Ovis aries: one gene and its partner. The protein of the gene in region 1 purifies or fractionates together with the protein of each later gene. This does not show direct contact. Links are inferred from orthologs where the notes say so. Each region holds a gene or a part of one and is shown in the gene's direction. Other genes may lie near its edges. The genes, in order: PBXIP1 and SLC27A1.

Region 1 (3,802 bases):
TGTGTATGGTGCGGGCTGGGAACCCTGAGCATGGGCTGGTCTCGGGCACCCAGGAGAGCACCCCGTGCTCGGTTTCGTCCTGCCGTCCTTCCTCTAAAGCAGCCCTTCTGCTGTACCCCTGCCCCCAGAGCCTGCCTGTGGAGACCTTGGGCCCTGAATCTGGGAGGGACCCAGAATCCGAGAGAGCTCCTCAGGCCCCTCGAAGCCCCTCCAAGGCAGCTGCTGAGGACTTGGCTGGGACCTTGGATGGAGGAGGTAACAGGGCCCTGTTGAGGGGGGCGGTGCAGCCACCTGTCCTCCATGTTCTGGGGTTTCCCAGTTTCCTCAGGGAGAGGAAGGCCAGTTGGTCTTATTCCCAGCATTGATCTCAGTTTAAAACCCTCCCTTATCCCATCCTGGCTTTCTCCTGTCCCTTCCTACCTGGTCGCGGCCTGTGGGAGCCACGGGGGCCGTGGTGTTTTTTCTGACTCTTTTTTCCTGCCACAGAGACAGTATCCCAGAGCGAGAGCTCCCAATCTGGGCCCATCCTGTCAGAGCAGGCTGAGGCCAAGGTGAGGACCTTCCCTGGGGGAAGGGCGGGAAGTGGGGAGGGCCAGGGAAGTGGGAGGTGCTCACGGCTGTGTCTGCAGCAGGGTGTCCTGGAAGGTGATGACCCTGGAGGGGAGCCCCCCGGCCCAGGAGACACAGAGGCCCAGGGAGACTTGGAGGAGACCCCTGAGGTGGTAGGCCTGGAACCGGACTCACAGGACCTGGAGGATCAGAGCCCCTCCCGCAGCCTGCCTTCATCCCCCAAAACAGGTGAGAGTCCTGCTTGTTTCGCCTGTCACTATCCTTCTAGAAGGTGTTGGAGTGGGAATAGATAGACATCACTGCCGAGCACAGCTCTGGTCTAGGCCTTAGGCCTTGGCAGCTTGGAGCCTTCCTTAAGCTGTATCAGTGAATCCTCACCACCGTCACCCCTGGGAACACTCAGGCTTAAGTCACACAGCTGATAAGTGGCAGGGCCTAGGTCTGGTCAACTCTTCTCTGCTGTGGGGCCTCCTCTTTACTTGCCTCTAGATTTGCCTCTCATTCCCTGAGTCCCTTCCACGAGTCAGCTCTGGGAAAGCAGCTTGGCTTCACGGCCTGTGTAGGAGGTGGACTAGACTGAGGCAAGGTGCAAGTCGGACTTGTGAGGGTGCAAAGGCAGTGTGATTAAGGTGTCCCCACGGGAAGGGAGGAGGGTGGGTTAGTCAGGGGACAGGTCGAGGGGGAGGGGGAGGCAGGGACAGCTGGGGAAAAGGTTCACAACGGAGGGGACATTGGAGTGGAACCTTGAGCAGAGTGGACTTTTGGTAGGTAGGGTAGGAGGAAGACAACGCTGCAGGCCAGGGCTGCAGCATCCACAAAGGGCTGGGTTCCCCGGTCCTGCACCGAGGAGGCTGCGTCCCAGGCTGGCGGCAGGAGGAGTGTGTGAATCCATCTCTGTTGAGGGGTGACAGGGTGGAGGGGGAGGCGGGGTCCGGGGCCATTCGGGGGCAGCTGCAGTCCGACGAAGCTGGGGAAGACCTGGACTAAGGTAGATACAAGGCATGTGCCGCTGAGATCTTTAGGGGCCATGTTGTTGATCTGTGCATGGGAGGCAAAGGGAGGGCTGAGGTTGGCTCGTGGAGCCCTGGCGTCTTGCCCTGCATCGGGGAGTGCCAGGAGAGAACCAGGAGAGAACCAGGTTGGAGGGCAGCGTGTGGAGTGTTTGGTCCCCAGGGACAGCCAGGTGGAAGAGACCAGGAGGTGGTCAGACATGCAGGCCTGGAGCTCTAGGGAGGCCAGTCGGGAGTTACAGATGAGGGACTCAGTCTGCTCTGGGGGGAGCCGGCAGGGTGGGTGAGACTGGGCGATTGTGCGTGCAGTGAGAAGAGCAGAAATGGTGCCAGGGAGACCTCAGCCTCTAGGACCAGGAGCAGCCAGGCACTGAGAGGAGACGCTGAGAGGGTGTGGCCAGGTTTCCGACAGAACCAGGGCAGGGGGCACAGGTGGGAGCAGGAGGACGCTTTTAGGATGAAAGTCGCTCTTGTATCTTGTCTGTAGTAGAAAGGACTGGTCTTCAGCCTCCAGACTGGGCAGGGGTAGTCACTGATGCCCAGGCACATGTGGGAGGGTCTCCATGCGCTCCCTCTGTGATCAGGACTGGGGGTCTCCTGTGTTTTCCTCTGGTTCTGGTCTGTCTGTCCATCCCGTCTCTCCAGTTGCCTTACTGCCCTGTCCCCCTCCCTCCCCCCAGCTTGGATCAGGGAGGAGGCCCACCACTCCAGCAGCGAGGACGACACCGATGTGGATGTGGCGGGTCTGCGGAGACGGCGGGGCCGGGAGCCCGGCACTCCTCAGCCCGCAGCCACCCTGGGTGTGGAGGACCAGGTCCAGGGCAAGGGTGCGGGCGGGGCGCTGGGCATCTCCCTCAACATGTGTCTCCTCGGGTCCCTGGTCCTGCTGGGCCTTGGGATCCTCCTCTTCGGTGAGTGGTTCCCCCCCCCCCCGCCGGCACCTTGAGCCTCTGCTGTGGCCCCTCTTGCAGCACTCCGACCCCATTCTGCCCCTGCCCCTGCGGGCCTGACCAGACTCCTCTGTCTCCATTTCAGGTGGTCTCTCAGAGTCTGAGAGTGGTGAGTGAGGATGGGGCCTGACCCATTTGTGTCTGTCCCCTTCCAGCCCTGAGGGAGGCTGATGGGGGCAGTTCTCTGGGTCAGGAGTAGGGATCCTGGGGGCTATATATTTTTTGCTCAGTTATAGGCCTTATGTCAGCTCTTTGGGGTGACCGTTGACCTTTTACCTTGCTGGACCCCTCAGCCATAGGGCGAGGTCCAGGGCAGGACAGTGACTGTGTGTGTTGGCAGGGCGGGGTGTTGGCAGGGTGGGGGAGGGGGGCGGGGGGTGTTGCAGGACGGGGAGGAGGAGAGGGCTCTGTGTGCCTTGAGACCAGCTTCAGGATTCCACTTTCCCACAGGGCCCCTGGAGGAAGTGGACCTGCAGGTCTTGCCAGATATGGAGTCTGATACTGAGATGCTGGAGGCTGTGGGGGATGGGCAGGCATGTGTGACTGTCTCCATCTGAGTGAGGGGCCTGGTGGGGGCTGTCGGGGTTGTGGGGCTCAGCTGGGGTGACTGGCTCCTTTGCCCGCGTGTGTGTGTGTGTGCGTGTGTGTGTGTGTGTGTGTGTCTGTCTGTCTGTCTGTGTGTGTGTGTCTGGGTCTGTGTGTCTGGGTCTGTGTGTCTGGGTCTGTGTGTCTGGGTCTGTGTGCCTGTGTGTGTGTTTGAGTGTGTGTCTGCAGGCAGATTCTTTACTGACTGAGCTACCTTTGCCCTTAGGATGGACTACAGCAGCTACAGACCTCAGAGCTCCTGGACAGTGTCCCCAGCCTGCAGAACATGGCCCTTCTGCTGGATAAGCTGGCCAAGGAGAACCAGGACATCCGACTACTGCAGGCCCAGCTGCAGGTGAGCACAATCAGGATGGGGTGGGCTAGACACCCTCCCTAGGCCGCGTGTCTGTCTGTCCAGTTTCTTCCACCCAAAGAAGTTTCCTGTGTTCACGCACATATACTGACCCTCTCCCTTTCCCACTAGAGTCCAGTCGTCTTCCATGTTTTGTTCCTGTCCTGCATGCTAAGGGTTAGGCCAGGATTGCGTATCTGCTTCACGTGGCATGCCACCTCTGCTTGATTGGCATGGTCTACCTGGAGCCTTGTGTGGAGAAGGATTTGAAGAACAGGCCAAGACTCAGTGGGAAAGAAGTGCTGTGATTAGTTAATAATATCTGTTCTGGGTAT
Region 2 (3,802 bases), on another chromosome or scaffold:
AACCATGCCCCGCAGCCAGGAAACAAGACAACAAAGCAGGGACCCGGGAGGGAAGAGGAGGGGGTGGTGCAGTAACAGGTGGGCGTCCAGGAATGGCCACCTGAGCCAAGACCGCACAGAGGTGGACGAGGAGCCACTTGGATGTTGGGAGGAGTGGTCCAGGCAGAGGGCAGAGCCTGTGCAAAGGCCCTGAGGTGGAAGCCCGCCAGGTGTGCTCAAGCAACAGCAAGGAGACTGGAGTGAGTGAGTGAGGGGGAAATCTGTGGGGAGGATGGAGGGGGAGGAGGGTTGGGTCTCTCTAGGCCTGGCACACAGCAGGTGCTCCCCATCTGGGGATGAATGGAGTAGTCTGTGCTCCTGTGCTGGCTGCTGGAGAGGGCAGGCACACCAGGTCCTAAGTTCAGGCAAGAACAGCCATTCAGTTTCTGTTTACTGAGCATCTGCTACATGCTAGGCTGCTTGGCTGGAGCAGAGGTAACTTCCCTGGTTGCTCAGAACCCTGGGGAAAATGGACTCACAACAGGGTGGCTTCAGGGGTTTTGATGGGAGGCCGTGGGTAAAGGGGGTTGGGGAGGGCTCTTGGGGTGGACAAGAGAACATTCCCTGAGCCCAGCCAGCACGCAGTCTGGACTGGCCCCCTTTGGGGACATGATGGGGGAGCAGTGGGCACAGCACAGGGCCCGAGGCCTGGATGGCTCCCTGGGGGAGGAGGTGAAAGGAGTCACCAGAGAATGAGCAGGTGTGTAGGGCTGTGCTTAGCTCAGTGTGCTGGCAGCAGACGTGTGTGCAGATGCTCTGGCTGAGCCAAGTCACAGCGGCCACAGGATCCCGGTCCCTTCCCAGGGGCAGCTAGAGGGGCCCTCCAGGGACGCTCAGGATGTGCAGCTTGACCCAAACAGGAAGTCTCATAAATCTCTCAGAACCCTGACCTCTTGTTTTTAGAAACTGCCATGCAGGTGGCTGTGTGGATCCAACCTCTCCTCTAACAGACCTTCCTGACCACCCAAGACCTTGTCTTCCTCCATTCCCCAGGTCCAGTCCGACCCCAGGACCTTTGCACTGGCTTTGAACCTGGCTTTACACTCACACCACTGCTTTTCACTTCTGAGGCCCTGCACAGGCCTTACCTACCTGGCTATCTCCGGGGCCATCACTGCCTCCATTCTGACCCATGTCACTCTGACAGCCTTGTCATCATCTAGCACTTTCCTCATGCTCATTCATTTATGTAGAGGGGGTTTCTCTCCTGGGAAAACTATGAGCCTCGAAGGGTTGGATCTAGTCATCTCTGAGCCAAGAATGCCCAGTGTGCAGTAGGTGCTGGTACCAAGAAAAAAAGAAATCCTGAAACAAAGCCAATTAGATCTTCTAATTAAAATATAAATAAAGCCAATTAGATCTTCAAACTGAAAAAAAACAAAACACAGTAGGCCCTGATACACATCAGCTGCCTTCATGAATTAAGGACAGAGGGGATGAATGAATGGATGAAAACGCTGAGGTCTGTTGTGAATCTGTTGAGTCTGAGGAAGCCATTGCAGGGAATTAAGGAATCAGCACAGAGGAAGCAGTAGGGACACAAAGGATGGTTCTGATAACCAATTTGATGCTAAAACTGGTGGGACACAATAGCCAGATGAAGCCTAAAGAGGCAGCAGAGTCAAGACCACTTGTATTGGTCAGGGCAGAGGAAGCTGCTGTAACAAACAGGTCCTCACTCATCAGTGGCTTAACCCAGCACCAAGTTACCTCTCAGAGCCAGGGGCTCTGCATGGTGGGCCAGGGAGCCTGATAAAGCCAGGAGACCACTTGTTTCTTGAGCTCCTGCACTAGGAAATTTTGGCTTTCTCGGTTCATGATCTAAAAGCCATCACTTTTGCTTTAAACAATACAAACAAGTTCAAGTCTCACTCATCTCAAATGGCCTGGTGTCAGCGATGGCTGCTCATCCCAACAGGGTCATTCAGGAGGCTGGCTCCTTCTCCTGGAGTTCTCCTTTCCCCTCTGACCTCTGATTGCCTTGTATCTGCTGTCAGGTGGGGACAGAGGAACAGGACACCTGCCACTGGGGCCTCTCACTAGCCTGTCTCCTGGCCCCACCTGGGGCAGAGGCAGCTCCCCGCCTTAGGTGGGGGCACCCGAGCTGGATGGCCCAGTCACCTCAGCCTAGTGCCATTCAGTGACTCGGGAGTGGGGCAGCCACGCAGCTCAGGGATGGACCCCAGGGCTCAGCTGAGGCAGGCAGGGCATAAGGAGTCCAGGCTGGAGGCAGTGTGGAGTCAGCATGGGGTACTCTGGATCCCCGGTAAGGAGAAAGGAGGACTGGGCCCTGGCTCCTGAGGGTTACCGGGCAAGCTGTGATGCGGGAGGACAGGGTGAGTCTGATTAACACTGCATAGCCAGCTTTGAGAATCCGCCTCCTTCTGGGCTGGTTGAGAAATAGCCCTTTGCCCTTAGTCCTTCGAGAGACCCGGCACCCCAAGCATCCTCTTTGAACCCTCGCCGCCCTTAGGGAACTGGGGTCTCTTCCTCTGCCCTCTCCGTGTGGGGATGCCGAGGCTTGGGGAGGTATCCTGGGGTGAGTGGGGCACCTAGTGACACCGGCTCCTCATCCCCCCTGCCAGCGGCCTCTCCGTGCTGATACGCGTGCGCCTGGAGCTGCGGCGGCACCAGCGCGCGCGCCACACCATCCCGCAGATCTTCCAGGCGGTGGTTCAGCGGCAGCCCGAGCGCCTGGCGCTAGTGGACGCGGGCAGCGGTGCGTGCTGGACCTTCGCGCAGCTGGATGCCTACTCCAACGCTGTGGCCAACTTGTTCCGCCGGCTGGGCTTCGCGCCGGGCGACGTGGTGGCCATCTTCATGGAGGGCCGGCCTGAGTTTGTGGGGCTTTGGCTGGGCCTGGCCAAGGCAGGTGTGGAGGCCGCGCTGCTCAACGTGAACCTGCGACGGGAGCCCCTGGCTTTCTGCCTGGGCACCTCGGGCGCCAAAGCCCTGGTCTTCGGAGGGGAGCTGGCGGCGGGTGAGGCCGGGTGTGGGTAGCATCTTGTCGGTGGGGGCCTGGGGCTGGTCAGGGCAGGGAGACAGTGCTTCCCCGGCCCTGGGAGGGGCACCTGTCCATCTTCAACCACGACATGTTTCGCGCCGCAGCGGTGGCGGAGGTGAGCGGGCAGTTGGGCAAGAGCCTGGTCAAGTTCTGTTCTGGAGACGTGGGGCCTGATGGCGTCTTACCGGACACCCAACTCCTGGATCCGCTGCTGAAGGAGACCTCCACAGCCCCCCTGGCGCAGCCCCCTGGCAAGGGCATGGATGGTGAGTTCAGGTGGGATCCCCCTGCCTGTGCCTATCCTGTCCCCTCGTCCCACCCAGCCCAGCCTCTGGTCCCCAACACCCGTGTCTCTCTCAGATCGACTCTTCTACATTTACACGTCGGGGACCACGGGGCTGCCCAAGGCTGCCATCATCGTGCACAGCAGGTGAGGGGCTCGTGGGTGTTGCCCACCCTGCTTCTGCCACCCCCCACCCCCACCCGCACTGGAGAGCCACTCCAGGTCGTCTCTAAGGCTTGATCCTCCTGCCTCCCTCCCCACCCCAACCACCCCCTGGCCCCCCCACCCCCCAGCTCTTGTTGAGGATATTGTGGGCATCTTGAACTCAACTGGGTAAAACCCACAGCCCATCTCAGGACCCAGTGCTGTCCTCTGCCCCTCCTCAGCCTCCGCCTGCCCCCAACAGCCCTCCTCTCCTCCACGACCGGAGGACAACCAACTCATGCCAAACCGCCCTGTTCTTACCTTGACCCTTG

Evidence for each region.
Region 2: the proteins of PBXIP1 (region 1) and SLC27A1 purify together in Homo sapiens (co-immunoprecipitation; 3 studies listed by BioGRID and IntAct, with this or other methods). This does not show direct contact. The link is inferred for Ovis aries from reciprocal best matches to the Homo sapiens genes PBXIP1 and SLC27A1.

The regions. Positions count from the first base shown.
Region 1 is NC_056054.1:105,173,232-105,177,033, reverse strand, and holds part of PBXIP1 (pre-B-cell leukemia transcription factor-interacting protein 1), read left to right. Parts: intron 1-128; coding exon 129-255; intron 256-486; coding exon 487-551; intron 552-629; coding exon 630-798; intron 799-2,260; coding exon 2,261-2,491; intron 2,492-2,615; coding exon 2,616-2,639; intron 2,640-2,980; coding exon 2,981-3,063; intron 3,064-3,341; coding exon 3,342-3,470; intron 3,471-3,802. UniProt on the Homo sapiens protein: Regulator of pre-B-cell leukemia transcription factors (BPXs) function. Inhibits the binding of PBX1-HOX complex to DNA and blocks the transcriptional activity of E2A-PBX1.
Region 2 is NC_056058.1:5,389,406-5,393,207, reverse strand, and holds part of SLC27A1 (long-chain fatty acid transport protein 1), read left to right. Parts: intron 1-2,624; coding exon 2,625-3,019; intron 3,020-3,147; coding exon 3,148-3,309; intron 3,310-3,403; coding exon 3,404-3,473; intron 3,474-3,802. UniProt on the Homo sapiens protein: Mediates the import of long-chain fatty acids (LCFA) into the cell by facilitating their transport at the plasma membrane.